Notamacropus eugenii: one gene and its partner. The protein of the gene in region 1 interacts with the protein of each later gene in a pairwise test. Links are inferred from orthologs where the notes say so. Each region holds a gene or a part of one and is shown on either strand. Other genes may lie near its edges. The genes, in order: NPAS2 and BMAL2.

What was found.
Region 2: the proteins of NPAS2 (region 1) and BMAL2 interact in binary tests that used the Homo sapiens proteins (3 or more experiments, as listed by UniProt). The link is inferred for Notamacropus eugenii from reciprocal best matches to the Homo sapiens genes NPAS2 and BMAL2.

Annotation. Positions count from the first base shown.
Region 1 is NC_092876.1:408,883,883-408,891,828, reverse strand, and holds the start of NPAS2 (neuronal PAS domain-containing protein 2), read right to left. Parts: upstream 3,570-7,946; 5' UTR 3,496-3,569; intron 2,731-3,495; exon of another isoform or gene 2,359-2,730; 5' UTR 2,277-2,358; intron 2,054-2,276; exon of another isoform or gene 1,757-2,053; intron 1,660-1,756; 5' UTR 1,375-1,659; coding exon 872-1,374; intron 813-871; exon of another isoform or gene 1-812. UniProt on the Homo sapiens protein: Transcriptional activator which forms a core component of the circadian clock.
Region 2 is NC_092874.1:178,211,704-178,220,016, forward strand, and holds the start of BMAL2 (basic helix-loop-helix ARNT-like protein 2), read right to left. Parts: upstream 3,755-8,313; 5' UTR 3,479-3,754; intron 1-3,478. UniProt on the Homo sapiens protein: Transcriptional activator which forms a core component of the circadian clock.

The DNA of each region.
Region 1 (7,946 bases):
AAAACCTCGAATGCCCTCAGTCTTTCATGGATAAGCACAGCATAGAACTACAGGACAACTGACCAGGCTATTCAAGAAGCTGGACTCTTCAGCTCTCCAAACAACTGACAGCAGACTCAGTACCTACTCTGGGCCAAATTCTAATCTAGTAACCAAAGAGGTGTATCCAGTGGCACCAATGCCACCCTCTCCTTCCCTCCAAATGTCAGAAGGCTCTCGACCCCCTCCTCCCCACTCGTGGCGGTTCCACCAAAGGGCAAGCGCGTAAAAGCCTTAAGCAATCAATCCGGAGTTCAAAACGTACCGGAATCCGCAGGATCTGCGATCGTGGGCTTGGGTGGGGATGGCTTACAAATTCCCAAATGATGTTGCCTGGGCTAAGTTCCCCCTCAGACGCTGCCCCAAAAGTGTCTAAAACATCCCAAAGTCTCGGAGGTGCCCCATGGACTGCCTCCAGACTCTCAGGCAAACACTGAAATGCCCAGAGTTTGCAATCGCCACCTCCTTCTCCTCCTCCGGCTTTCCTGCAGAAATGGGTAACCCAGGGCCATGGGCGTGTGAATATGCATGTACCTCACAGAGATAGGGGGCCTTCCCCCAGCTCCCCTCCCCACGGCCCAGTCTGCGCGGGGGGTCCCCGCACTTGGCTGGGGGACAGCATTTCCCACCGCCTCAGGCAGCAGGTGAATGAACACACCCGCCCACGCTCACCACACACACGCACACACACACGCACACACACACACACACACGCACACACACACGCAGAGAGAGGCATGTAGTCAGTCGCGTGCCACCCAGCAGAAGCCCGAGAAAGCTTGCCTGGTCTCCCCCCATCCCCGCCCCCACACCAGCCCCGGAGCCGCACTACCTGGGCTGTTGGCGGCGGCGGCTGCGGGGCTCGGGGGGCTCCAGCGGCCGCTGCCGCTGCTGGGGGAAGCCCTGGAGCCTGGCGGGGACCGCGCTCTTCCAGCTGCCGCTGCTGCTGTCGGCCGAGGCGACCCGAGAGCTGGGGCTGCTCGGATCGGGCTGCTGGCGGCGGCTGCTCCTGCTCCTGCTCCTGCTCCTGCTTCTGCTCCCACCGTCCCCGCCGCAGTCGCGGCTCCGACCCTGGCGGTGGCTGGGACCGCTCTCCCCGCGTCTCGCACTGCCGCCGCCGCTCCAGTCCTGCGGGAGGCCGGGCTGCTCGGAAGGCAAACTCTTCCGCACACACAGCCAGCCAGGGAGGTTTCCCTCGTTAGCCGCCGCCACTGCCGCCGCCGCCACTGCCGCCGCCGCCGCCTCCTTCTCCTCTTCCTCCTCCTCCTCCTCTTCCTCCTCCTCCTTCTCCTCCTCCTTCCCGCTGCTCCTACTGCCGCCGCCGCGGTATCTCATGGTGAGAGCAGCCACCGCATCCCGGGGCTCCGGCTTCGCCTGCGCCTCGCGGACTCACACGCACACACCGCACACGCACGCACGACACGGGGGCTCCGGGACCCACGGACTGACACGCAGTCTTCTCTCCACCTGCAGCCTCGGACCCTTGCAGCCCGCGCCCCCGGCTGGGCTCCCTGAGGGCGCCTGGGGTCCCGCTGCAGCCTGGCAGCCTAGCTGGGAGGTGGGAGGTGGGAAAGCTGGCGAGGGTGGGGAGTAGGGGCTGTGGTCTGGAGGTGAATGGGCCTAGGAGAGAAGGAGCAAGAGTTCCGATCAAAGTTGGCACCCGGGGGGCACACAGGTTCCACCCTCTCCCGTTTGGCCACCCCCCTCCCACTCTCACCTGCGTGTGTGTGCGTGTGTGGATGTGTGTCGGGCCGCCCCTTCTGTTCCCCCCAACCCTGCCTTGGGGGCATGGGGCTGTGCTTTGGTGCCCTTGCACACTGGGGAGTGAATCCTCTTTAGAGAATATTAGAATACAAATGTGCTTTCCCAATTAGTTGGGGAGAGGGGCGTCAGAGGAGGAGATTGGGCATGGGGGGCAGTTGTTGGTATGGACTAGGGCTGAGGTGTGTTTGGGGGAGGTGGCGGCATTAACTGCCGCTGCTCGTTGGAAACAATCGGTTATCTCAAGGAGAATGTAGCTGGTCTGGAAAATGGGTCAGGGATGAACAGGAACATGCTAATTGCCCCTTCCCCACCCCACCCCCTCTAAAATCGGAGGTAGATTTGAGGGGGGAGGAGGAGATTGCCCAGAGGAGCACACACTCCCCCCCTCCAATTCCTCCTCCTGACTTCCCCTCCCCCCCACCCCCCGCCACCCTCCTCTCCTTTTGCACAAGTGCAGGAAATGTTCCACTGACCTACATATTTTTCCAAACATACGTGACCTTTTTTTTTTCGCTTTGTGGGAGGAGACAGGCGAGGATCCAAGAAAAGGAGAAGCTGGAGAGGGAGAGAGAGGAAAAATAAGTAGAGCAAAAACAGGGAGGGTTTCACAAAGCCTACAGCAAATATCAGTCAGGAGACAAATGTATATAAATAGTCTTAAAATAAACCAGTAGCTGCTGTTTGATAATTCCGCATGTCTCTAAAACTTAAGTCGGGCAGAGAAGGGCGACTCTAACAACTCAGGCGGTACCTTGAAAAACGGCTGGATTTTTGAGGACCTTCCCGGGCAGGACTCCTCCCCACTGCATTTAGATGCCACTGTGACAGGCTCAGCTTTAGAGCCGCCAAATGCCACTGCTTCCCATCACCCCTTACTTGGAGACAAACACCTTCCGCACAAAATAGCAGAGGAGGGGAGGATTCTTCTTCCCATAGAAAGACCACCACCCTGAATCACAGGCAGGGAGTGAGAAAATTCCAGCTTTAAAGAACAGTCAAACCCCAATCCTCCCATTCCTCCTCCCCTTTCATCAGCTCCGCACCGCTTCCCCCCCTTCCCTCAAGTCAAGCCCTTGAGCTTCTAATGTGGGGATCCACCATCCCAAAAATCCTAGTTTAGTTCTATTAAGCGGTAAGGGAGAGATGTACAGGCTGTCTTGGAGAAAGAACGCGCCCCCACCTGTCCCTTTGTCAAACCCTTTCCTTGAATTCAGCTAACTGGTAGAAAGGGCTTCCCCTAGGTGTTCCACTAGGTTTGAGGGGCTTGGGGGTTGCCCGTTCTCTTCTCCAATCTCTTTTCTCCCTCTCTACCCCCCCCCCCCCACCTCAAGTTCAAGGCTTGAGCCTCAGCAGCCCCGACATAACTAGCACCGCCTTATTTGGTCATGCAACTCCACACCGTCAATTAGATCAAAACGTTCACCGAGAGCTTTTCACACACACACACCCCTCCACCCCCCGTGTAAAGTAGGTCATTCTCTTTATTTCCCACTTGTATTATTTTTGCCTAATTCTTCTTCTGCAAAATAACCAGACGTAAGGAGGCTCGAGCATTCTAAGAGAAGCTGCTATTCTCTGGATTCCTTCTAACTTGTAGGTGCTTTTCAAGAAGAACGATGAGGCTTAGGAAATGTAACTGTTTTGAAGTCTTTTAGATTCCCAAAAGAAGGAATTTTTCCCCTCCCCCCTTACCTTTCCTTCTTTAGGTAATTATATTTCACCCTGCTTTAAATTGTAGCCATGACTAGTGTCCAAAGGATAAAGTTGTGTACTTTTAACCGGATTTAATCCAGAATTTTAAAAGCTCCTCCCTTCCTTTGGAATGGATCCCAAACCTCTTTTCCCCCATCCCGCCCCCCCCTTTGGAAATTGCTGGACAATGCTTAAATGATCCCTTGGAAAAATGAAACGCCCTGAGGCAATAATGCATCAGATACAGGAGTAATGCAATGAAAAAACATATCATTTTTCAGTATTTGCTACCCAATATAAAGTGATAAATCTTGAAGTCTTACTTTATATTTCTTGTTTTCAAGGCCATACAAATAATACTCCATGATCATGGTGAAGACATCTACATGTTTTGGGTTGTTTTGTTTTGTTTTTTCATTTACTTCTGAATCCTTCTGATTTGCCTCCTGTTTGCAGATCCTATAGGACTGACACCTTATGGAATGTGCATGGCTATAGCAGAGAGTACAGTGTGGATCTACAACAGGAGATTCATGCTAGATTAGAACATGACCCTCAGGGGAATTTTTTTTCTCCATGACCAACTGAGGAAGTGAATTTTAAGATGATGATTTATCCCTATCCTAACAGGGATATGTAAAGAGTCAGTTTAATACAATATGACAAAATACATATAGCAGATATAACATAACAAAGGTAAATCATAATTATAGCAGCTGTGCTCTTTTCAGTCTTCTAAATTTTATAAAACTTAGAATTAGTTGGGGAGAGAAATCTTTTATGTAACCTAATGATTAATTATTAAAAATAGTAGTTTCATTTGACTTTTCATCAATGAGAATTTTTGTCAGTCTCAGAGCTTTGTATGGAGGGGGTGTGCAGGAGAAATTAAAATATAGCTAACCATTTAAATTATTTTATAGATACTAGTGGGGGAATTCAATGTTTTTGCAGGCATCATTTTATATATTGTTCACCCATAGAAGCAGATTATACCCTGATTATTATTAAACATATTTATTAAGGCCCTTCTTGTATATGGGGGGACGGAGGAAGTATCAGAAACACAAGGTTTGTCTTCTAAAAACCAGTAAGCCTGGGCAAACCACTTAGCCTCTCAGTGACTCTAGTAAACTATGTAAGACTGTAAATTCCAGTTTGGGTGTTGTTCTACACTGGTAGAGGAAGTTTTCTCCCTGGGACCTATCTATACCAATAAAATCACCGGTCTGGTTTAAAAAAATGTGAATGAGAATTAGAACCTATATCAGAGAACTATATGAAATTAATGAATATTTTATGAATGACAGAACAAATGTTCCTTGAAAGCAGGTATTGTTTTACTTTTTGACTAATACAAAATTTCCTATGTCTAGCACAGTGCCTTGCGCTAATATGTGCTTAATAAATGTTTGTTGAATTGAATAACAGGCCAAAGGTTATGCACAAATAGTGGTGATGGTGAGGGAAGAGAGAATCCTGGGAAACGTATGTTTTATGGAAATATTATCTTTTTTTAAAGGGTTACTGGTTTATTGGAAAATGCTCTGGGCTGGGTGTCAGGAGACCTGAGTCTTAGTACCAACACTACAACTATCTAGCTGGACAAGAGAGTTGGGCAAGCCACTGGACCTCAGTTTCTTCATTTGGAAAATGGAGATGGGAGGCTAGAGAGATTTCAGGGGGCTCCATAATTGGATGGGAAAATTTATATCTATTTTTACTAATCTCTTGCTTCCTTCAATTATTGAAAAATATTATTCTGAGGGGAGGTTCATATACTTCAGCAGGCTACCAAAGGGGTCCACAAAAAACGGTAAAGAATTCCTGGACTAGGTTTTTTTTTTCCAAGTTCAAAAATTCGGTGATTCTAGGGTGATTAGTAATATGATGAGTGCTTCCCCCTTTTTTCATATTAACTTCCATTAGGCTGCTTGTAGACTGAACTTCAGATTATATTAAGGAAGTTTAACACACACACACACACACACACACACACACACACACGCACCCCACCCTGTCATGCATTATTAAGTAGTATAACATAATACAAGCAGAGCAAAATGTCACAACTGAAGAGTGAAAGCCCAATTAATGTAAGGGTAAAGCAGAGGTCTCAGGCCAAGCAATAGAAAATTAAATGAGTCATAAGCCGAAGCTTCTGAGAACCTCTGAGAAAAAGATCTGAGAATTGAAAACTTGCCTCTGAAAGATCAAGGTGGGTAGCATTTTAAAATTTCCATATTGCAGAAACTTCTGAACACATCAAAATAGAGTGAAATGATTCTTTAACGTCCTTGCCACAATGAGGATACAATTGTGGTAAAGGCCTTTTGCAGCCTGCCTGGGAAAGTCAAGACATGATTTTTCCTTTGTGCAGAGTAGATCATGTGATTGGCAAGCAGAAGAGTGAAGTCAGATTTCCTTTTAAACCAAGTATGGATAACTAAGAGACTGAAACCTGACCTGAAAGAAAGACTATGTTAAATTAGAGGTTATACTATAGCAGTTGATCTGTGACAAAACCTTAGCTGGTCTTAGATTTTTGATTTCAGTGCTTAGCAGTGTTTTACAAGGAAATCTCTTTGTGTCTCTGTCCGTGTGTCTGTCTGTCTCTCACACACATATTTCTCAGCAATGAAGTTGTAAGTGCTGTTATCTCTAATAACATTATTATGCATACATTGTGTGCTTATTTACCTAGTTTTTCTCTAGTTTTTTTGTTTTTCTCTAGTAGCATGTGAATTCCTTGAGGCAGCACAGTAGATAATACGATGGACTTGGAATCAGAAAGATCTGAGTTCAAATCTAGCACCAGACACTAATTTTGTGACAAGCAAATTACTTCTCCTCTGTAGCCTCAGTTTCCTCATCTGTAATATGGAGGTATTAGTAGCACCTGCCTCCCAGGTTTGTTGTGAGGATCAAATGAGATACTATTTGTCAAGTCCTTAGTACAGTGCCTGGCACATTGTAGGTACTATATAAATACTACTATCTTTGCTGTATAAATCTCTATATCTGCTGTACTATTTCTGTTATATAAATACTACTACTATACTGGATATACTGCTGCATCTGTGTGTATGTTCGTCCTTCGTTGCTGAAGAATATCATGACATCAGAGAAATGATGACATGGCTTGCACTTGACTTTGTTTTGAGTGAGGGAGGGCTGTGCAGGTCACAGCCTCACTTCTCCTCCAGAGCCATCTGGATCCAGTGACCAAATATTCATTAGGACGACTGGAGATGAGCCAGGATGAGGCAATTGGGGTTAAGTGACTTGCCCAAGGTCACACAGCTGGTGAGTGTCAAGTGTCTGAGGTGAGATTTGAATTCAGGTTCTCCTGACTCCTGCACTGGTGGTATGCCCACTGTACCATCTAGCTGCCCCTCTGTATTTCTACAACCTAACACAATGCCTGGTCCACAGTGAGAACTTAATAGTTACTTGTCAAATTGAATTGAAAGGGGGAGAATATTTTTATGTGATACTAGTCAAATATGGGAATAATCTTACACTGGTTTAGGCAGTTCCTACATAATTTTTCTCCTAATGATGAATTTTAATTTTTTATGTCCTATTCATTTCTCTTCTAAGAATTTTATTGTTATTTTTAAAATCTTTATTTAATGAACACTTGGCTAACATTATCCAGGCCAATGCACAGAATGTGTTATCATAGCATTAATTTTTTTCCTATGGGACCTTAGTTTTTAGCCATCTAAGTTAATATCTAGATGAGTAGTAGTTGGTTAAGTCACTGTACATTTTCTTTACCACACACCCCTCAAAGCATCAGGTACTAGGATTTCCTTTATTGTAAGTTTCCAAGGGGAAGCTGGATGATCACTTGTCAGAAATATTGTAGAAGGGTTTCCTGTTTGGACGAATCTGATGGTTCTTCCAATTTAAAGTCTGCAATTTCTTATTTGATTCATGGACAATTATTATTCAAATGTCTGAAAGTTAGAACTCTAAAATGGGAGAATTATAGATATACAAGGAGTAGTGGTGGCCATGGAAGATTCCTAGAAGGAAATAAAGTTGGTAATAAAATAAATAGCTTACTTTTGGGGAGTTTTACCAAAGGACCTCTTTGGGATATGTGACATCAAATATAGGAGTGTGCATTGTCAACAAGTCTAATATCACAAAGGCTAGGAAAGGATGAGTACTATTCTTGCCAGTAAAAGAAAGCTCAAGGTACAATGTTGCTCATGACCCTTGATCTTAGGATTATGGAATGAGCAGGAAAGGACCGTAGTAATGGTCAAGTTTAACCTCCTCATTTTACAGTTGAAGAAACTGTGTGCCAGTGAGGTGGTGATTTGCCCATCCTCGAATGCATAGTATGTGGCTGAGACAGGATTTAAACCCAGCTCCTCAGACATTGAATCAATAACTCTTTGTATCACACTTTCCTTCCCGAATGAGAAGAGCTATAT
Region 2 (8,313 bases), on another chromosome or scaffold:
AAAAACAGGATGAATAGGAGCAAGGCAGCTCTGTCTCCACCTCTCCTACCATCAGGAGATCTCAGTCTACTCTGCTCTCCTGGATGCTGTCTTGTCCTCGATTCCAGGAATTCTGAAGTCATCCACAAAGAAGACACTCACCCTCACTTGGCAGAGTGTACAGTCTTTCTGTTTTTCTTAAGTCTGTCAAATAATATTCTCAAATGAACTGTCTACCTGTGGTTTTCCCCCAGGGAATTTTTGTCGGCTAGAAAGATTCCTTACCTAACCCTCTACAGTCCAAGCACAGAAAGTAATTTCAAGCCTCCTGCTTTTTTTTTTTTAGACTTATACCAATAAGATCTTAATATCAGACTATTTAGATATAATGATAAATTTGTAGTTTGGTAGATGAGATAAATGGAAATAGATTCCTGGAATAGGAACCTGGTAATAAAGAGCTATAGATCAGAACTGCCTTAAAACATTTTTGTTTCACCCAAAATAATGAAATAGATAAGTAGAGAGAAAGTGTTAGGTTGAGGAAGACCATTAAGATAATAGGCAAAGTTCTAGTTTATTTTGAGTGTACTAGTCATGCAATGTAGGATGGGATTAGAACTGTGATTTCATTAATAAGAACTCCTGAGTGAGGAAGACCTCTCTCCCAGTGCAAGTCAGTATTTTCTTCAAAATGTATAGTTTTACACTGGTCTCGAGTCAGGAGGACTATCAGATCTGCCTTCAGACACTTACTAGTTATGTGGCCCTGGGCAAGTCATTTAATCCTAATTGCCTCCAAATTTAAAAAAAAAAAAAGGAAGGAAAGAAACCAAGAAGAAAAAGAAATGTATAGTTTTAAAGAGTTGTATAGAACACTGAGAGGCTAAGTGATTCATCCAGGGTCACCCATCTAGTGTACTGGGAATGGGACTTGAATCCAGCCAAGTTTTCTTAGATTCAAGGCTGGATTTTTGCTTCTCACGTAATATAAGAATGTATTAAATTATGTGTAGGGATCATATCTTACTTAAACCTTAGGTCTTAACTTCTCTCTACCATATTTGTTGCTGTTCAGTCCTGTTCAAGTCTTTGTGATCCCATTGGGGTTTTCTTGGCAAAGACAATCAAGTGTTTTGCCACTGTTTTCTCCAGCTCATTTTACAGATGAGGAAACTGAGGTAAACGGGGTTAAATGACTTGCCCAGAGTCACACAGTAAGTGTCTGAGGACAAATTTAAACTCAGAAACATGAATCTTCCTGATTCGAGGCCCAGCACTCTATCCACTGTGCCATATATCTTCATCAACCAAGAAAAAGCAAAACCAGAAAACCTCAGATGTCCAGTTCAGTTCTGATCCTTGTTTAAAGTTGTAAGTGTAATCTGCCAAGCCCAGAGGATCTGTTGGAATCTGCAACAGTCCCACAGAGAACAAACCAATTCTGAGTCATGCCTAACGTGAAAGACTCCAGGAAGACTGAGGAGTTACAGGGCTACTTTGGATGGCACAGAAGTTCACCACTAGATTTCCACTTAGCCCAAGCCTGTCTAAAAGGGGACTCAAGCCTATAGGCTGGCCTCAGAACTGACCTGATATCTCAGGCCCCTCCTAAATATGGATGATGAAGGGTTGAGTTGGACTTGCTCGGTCTTCTCAGAAATATAATGCCTACTGAAAACCTGTCTCCTTCTCAAGGCATACTCCAGGGTCTAGATCAGTTTAACACAAGGCTCTAGGATTCAAAGAAAAAGAAAGGGGGGAGGGGGGAGGTGTTAGGAAATGAGATGCAATCTGCCTCACTTCATTCAGTCTCTCAGAAGGTCAAACTGTCATTATTGCAGTCACCAAACTCACTGTTTATGTATGTTTATATAAAGCTAAGTCAGAAGGATCATTTTAAGCATGTCCTAACTTCACATTTAGTTCTCAACTAAACAACAATGTTTATTTATAATGAAAATAACTTAGCTAAAGGTACCTTGTCACTAAGGTTCAGTCAGGGCCATACGATTTAATCTAGAATTTCTGCTCACCTAGATTAGCATACATTGAAAGAATTCAAATGCCTCCTGGATTTGGACAAAACTGGTTACATATTTTCACAAGTCTAGACAAATATTTTATCAGGAGACCAGTCTTAACTAAAAAATAAAAAGGAGCTATAAGTTAAGTAATTGTTTATCCCAGTCTTCTGCAAAATACATGATGAGGTACATTATGATGGTGGGAATTGGAAACACTACAAGACTCCAAAGTACCACTTTGAGAATACTAAGTTTTCTCATCTCACAGTCTATTTTGGCAAATAATTGAATATATTTTTACTACATTAGGTAAAGCTTATAGAAATCTAATCACCTCTGCCCAAATATTTTTTCTGCAAACTCTCTTAAAATTCTTTTTATTTCTCTGTCACTTATCTTAAGTGGTAGATACAATGATGGTTCCATTATTTTCAATAACAGACCCAAGAGACAGACTACTATAAATAATTATAATAAATGAAAGAAAACTTTGTATAACAGAAAGTTGGTTTTTTCTGAACAACAATAAAAATCCTGTAAGCTGATGTATCAGCATTGTACCATGAGAGGCACTGTTAGAATGAGAGGTCCTGGGTTCAAATTCTGCTTGTAACTTCCAATCATTCAACCTCTCTGGGCTTCAGTTTCCTCAAATATAAATCGGGAGAAGGGATTGAATAGGTAGCGGCTGCTGCTCTAAATCTATGACCTCCCCCTTTATTACAAGGAGTGTGGGGGTGTGGGGGTGTGGGCGCGTGGGTGTGGGTGTGGATGGATGGGTGCGTTTCTTGGGGCAGGAAGAGTAGAGGGAAAGAAATAGATTTTCGTTTCTTTTAAGGAGCCTGTGAGCTACAGCTCTCCTGCCTGTTTTTCAGTCAAAGTTGGTTAGTTTCTGGAGCCAGAAAGAGAAGAGAATGCTGCCTGTTCTTCCTGTGTTCTGGAATGACAACAACAACAACAAAATTCTTTTTATGAATGATGATGGCAGGGGGCCAGAAGAAAGCAAGTAGACCATTCAAAATGACAGACAGAAAGAGGGTAGTAGGAAGGAGATCTGTGACTACAGATTTGCTCTGGAATAACGGAACGGATTTGCTTCTAGGGCTCTCCCCTCAGGGCAAGACATACACTTAAATCTGCCCAAGCGGTGCCAACACAACTTCCATCGTGCCTCCCCGGCAAGCATCCTGCCACCTGAGCCCATAGGTGTGCACATAACAAAATCAGAGCCTGCTTTCCCTTTCTGAAGGAGCTAAGTGCTCTCTCGTCAGTCGCTCACCCTCATCCGCAGCAGGTATCCCAAGGAGCGGCGTGAACAGGCAGGCTCCTTCCATTCCCATCCAGGGCAGCGGCAGCAGCGGCAGCGGGTCCCCCAGCTCGGGGTCGATGGAGGGGGCTAAGCTCCCAGACTCGCCCACCCCCCTTCCCAAGCTCGCCCCAAGCCCGCCAGGCTGTGTCACTTAGGGACTCACCTGGCGCCGCAGCCTCGGCGGGCTGGCTCCCTGCAGACTCAGTGTCTTCTCCCCCAGCCATAGCAGGGGCCGGCCGGCTGGTTCTCGAGCCCTCGGGCTGGCTGCATGGAGGGGGGCCCCAGTCCGTCCAGCACACGCCCGACGAGGCTGATCCGGCAGCGCGGCGGCTGCGGGCACACCTGCGGGGCTGCGCCAGGGATGCTCAGCGGCCACCTCTGCAGCGAGCGGCCCCTCTCCCTGCACACCAGCCGCTGGGGCGGGCAAAGCTTCAGACTCGCCTGCCGAACCTGCCGGGCTACTGAGCATGCCCGGTCGGGCTGCCCTGGCACCCGTTCAAGGCAAGCAGTGGATGCCGATTCCGCTAACCGGGTTTTCGGGGTAACTGGGAGAAATGCGAAGGAGGAGCAGAGGCTGGGCTGGGGGTAGAGGTGCCTGCGGCAGGCTCAAAGTCTTTGAAAAGGAGATCCCAGAGTCCAGGAGCTCAGGAGATAGATGGATGACAAAAGATACAGACAGATCACAGATGACTTGCGGACGAGGAAAAAGGGGGATTCCCACTGGCATCCCTGATCTCAGTATTAATGCTGCCCAAAGAGCTCCCTGAGAGGCATAGGATTTACAAACAGAAGGGACCCTAACGATCATCTAAGTCCAACCCCCGCATGTTTACGGATCGGGAAACTGAGGCCCAGAAGGGTGGAGTGACTTACCCAAAGTCTCACAGTTACTAAACAGCAGAGATGAGCCTGAAACCCAGGTCTTTTAACCCTGGGTTCCAATGTTCTTTCTACTGTGCCCTGCTCCCTCCATACAGCTGAAATTTATATCAATGTATGAGTGTTAAAATATGAAATTTTTCAAAGTGAATGCCCATCCATTGGGGAATGGCTCAACCCGTCGTCGCTCAAGATTGTAATGAAATATTACTGCTATGTGAGAAGTAATGAATATGATGAAAACAGAGGAGCACGGAAAGACTTTATACAAACCATAGTCAGGAAGTCCTGGGTTCAAATCCAGCTGCAGACGTTTACTATCTCTGTAACCCGGGGCAAGACATTTATCCTCTCTTGGTCTCAGTTTCCTTACCTATAAAGGGAATGGCCTTGGACTTGGCCACTAATGAATCTAAGTCTATGGTCCTATGATATGAAATGAAGTAAGCAGAACTGAGGAAACCATAGACACAATGACCACAACAATAGAAATGGAAAGAAATATAAGAAACAAATATTAAAAATTGAATGCTAAGAATCTGAGGCCCTTTCCCCCACACTCTTACTTTACAGAAGTGGGAGGTTATGGGTGTGAAATACTGGATAGAATGTCAGCCTTTTTTCAAAATGTGTGTTAATTTTACCGAACTTTTTTCTGCTTTTATTATTATTTTTTTAAAGTAAAGGATGGCTCTCTGAGAAGGGCGCAGGGATATATTGGGAAGGGTAGGTGAACCAAAATCAAAAGATCAAGAAAAAATTATTTTAAAATTAAAAAAAGAAAATGACATTTCTTTTTTAGTAGTTCAACCCCTCCAATACTTTGGTCTTATTTTTAAGTTTAAAAAATGTTTATTTTTACATCACCTTGATCTTCTTTCCTCCTACTCAGACAGTCCTTCCCTATGGCAAACGATAAGAAAAAAAGGGGAGGAGGGAAGCTGTTTGGCAAAATTAAACAACACATCAGTTGGTTCAGAGAATATATTCAATATTCCACAACCATACTACTCCACCTTAGCTTAAAAAGGTCAAGGTCTCCCACTGCCTACAGGGCCATCTCCAGTCTTGTTACTGGACTCAGATGGCTCTGGAGGAGAAAGTGGGGCTGGTGACTTTGCACAACCCTGCCTCACTTAAATCCTATTCACTTGTCATAGCATCACCTTCTGGATACTATGATTGTCTTCAAGAAGAATGGACAAACAACAACTCCCCCACTGCAGAAAAGAGAGAGAGAGGTTCAGAGACTGACATCACTTACTGTCTTAACTCATATGGAATCTGACATCCAAAAGTAAAGCCACAGAAGTATAATGTAAAGGGTTGAATTTTCAGAACTCCATAAAGAAGAGATAAAGGAATGAAAGAATGCTTTAGTTTGAAGATAACAAAGAATTTCAAGGGTGACACTAAGGGGACAGCAGGGACCAGGGTAGTGAAGTTGGAGTGTAAAAAGTTGAGTTTAACTTCCAGCTTACCTATTTTATATAATAATGATCTATAATTTATATTAAAATTAAGGTTACATGTTCTATAAACATACATTCTATATAATTATACAAATATATAATTACTTATTAATTGTGTGACCTTGGACTTAAACTTTTTGGGCTTAAGCCTATACCATGTATATACAGCATGATAATTGTGATACTTGTGATAATAAAAAAAATCTTTTGGGAAACTTTTCTGAATACTGATAACAGGCTGCCTCTGTTTTGGACCCATGCTCATTCCCTTTTATTTTCTGGAAAAAATCCATTTCATGTGTCTTGCTGGCCAATCCCCAGTTTCCCTTTGTATATGACTTTAAAGATGGGAAATTTATCAAACCACCTTGAGTGAAAACTTATGTTCTCCCACCCCTCAAAAATAAAGTTCCTGGACATCCTTCATTATCAAGGAGAAGAGTGATGAGAGAGTCATAGATCCTGGATATGCTACATCCTCTTCCTCCTGCTAGAGTGTGAAAACTTAAAGTGCTGGTGACCTCTCAAAGTATAGCCTTTTTTTGTTCTTGCCCTTTCAGTTTTTACCTCTCCTCCTGTGCCCCTTCTCTCCTCAGCAATATGGTTTCTTATTTTAGGTTTTGAGTTTTCCCTTGTTTGAGTTGCAACATACTGTAATAATAGCCCATGACTGCCCTTTCTTTTGTGAAGCCTGCCTTGTCTCCAAAACTGCCATTATGGACTATAATTTAATTGAATGGGTAATATATGGTTAATGTCTGCCCTGTATCACAATGTCATAAATCATAGATCATAGATTTTTAGAATTGGAAAGGAACACAGAAGCTATTGAGTCCAACTTCCTTATATTACAGAAAAAGAAACTGAGGCAGAGAGAGTTTAAGTGACTTGTCCAAGGTGTGATTATGAAAATCAAGTGATATAATATATGTGAAAATTGTTGGGAGGAGGAAAAAAGTGCTACAGAGATTTAAGGTATTTGTTTCTTCATAGTAAAACTGCAGAAAGGTTTGGTCCAAATATAAGGAAAATCAGATGATTATAAGAGATGGAGACAGAAAGGACCTGAGAGATCATCTAATCCAACCCTCTCATTTTAGAGATGAAAATACTGAGGCTCTGATCCAAGGTTGTCCACGTAGTGAGTAGAAGAGCCAAGATTCGTACCCAGGTCTTCTGATTGCAAATCAGTGTTCTTTAGACTGTACTATAAGGGTTTCCCTTGGCTTTCTCAAAGGTAAAATACTGGAGAGCAGTATGGGGTAAATGAACACTGCTCCTAGAGTCAGCTGATCCTTGGTTAAAATGGCAACTTGGATATTTGCTAGCTATGTGATCACAGGAAAGTCACAACCTCTGTAAGCCCATCTCTTTAAAATGTAGATAATCATGCTGTGTACAACTGTGTCGAACTTAAACTGCTACAAAAAGTGGGTTATTATTCCTGGTGTGACTGATAGGAATACAAGGTGTCCCAAAAGTCTTACTGCAGTTTAAAGTTTTAATCATTTAAATTGCTTTACTGAATTCAGATTCTAGGGACACACTGTATGTTATTGAACAAGCCAATCAATACTACCTTTTCTTCCCCTTGGAAAATCTTTAGTGACAGGACTGACACCTATCTCCTGGAATGTTTTATACAAAGCAGGGCATTGGGCAATGTCACCTTTAGAAATCACTTACAGCATTAAGATCCTACAATGAATTTTCTAGAGATACAATCCAAGTTTAGAATATGCTATTTCATAGTCCTTAGGTTTCCTTGGTTACAGCTTTCTTAGTTGAGGTAGTGGCAAATGAAACAACCCAGAAAAAAATTCCAAAGCCTTGTACACAAACCAGATGACATTTGATAATTATGCTTCTGTGAATCTAACCTTAATCATGGGGTTCTAAATTACCCATTATGATTGGAGAACCTACTCATTAGTCCTGAGTGTTACTTAAAAATAAGGCCATGCCAAGGGTATGACAGCTGAGGGTTCTCTCTTCCATTCTTAGAATCAAAGACCTCCACCAAAATCTAGTAAGAAGGGGATATGGGTGACAAAATGGGATGCCAGAGTTTAAGCTTTGGCAGGTTCTATCAATCTGGAAATGTTTTGAATAAGGTGCCAATGACAGACTGGATGTTTTGCAGATGAACACTGGCCTAGTCAGAGAAGGTCAGAAGGGATAGATATTGTAAGGATGGTCACCAAGTGATAAACTTTTTCAGCCACAATAACTCAAGGATATCAACTACTGAGGCAAAGGGAAGCTGTGGGTACAAGAAGTATCCACATAGATCAATCAATCAATCAACAAACATCTATTAAGTACTTACTATATGCCAGGAACTATACTAAGCCTTAGGCATACCAAGTAAATCAAAACACTTTGCAGACAGGGCCACCAAGAGTCCTTAACTTCACAGTGTCCCTCTTGCCCTCCACCCTTCTGCCAATCCCATCTCATTCTTTGACATTGCTAATAAGGAGCCCCTGGACCAAGCTATTTACAAGCTCTTTGCAGGAAAGGTTCCAAAGAGTAGAAAACTTCCATGAAGAGAACTTTACCCTGAAGTACCCTGTCCATGGCAAGTGCTGGGCCCCACACAAATGGCTCCTTGTTTTTCATTCCTACAGCTAACACTGGCTGGATG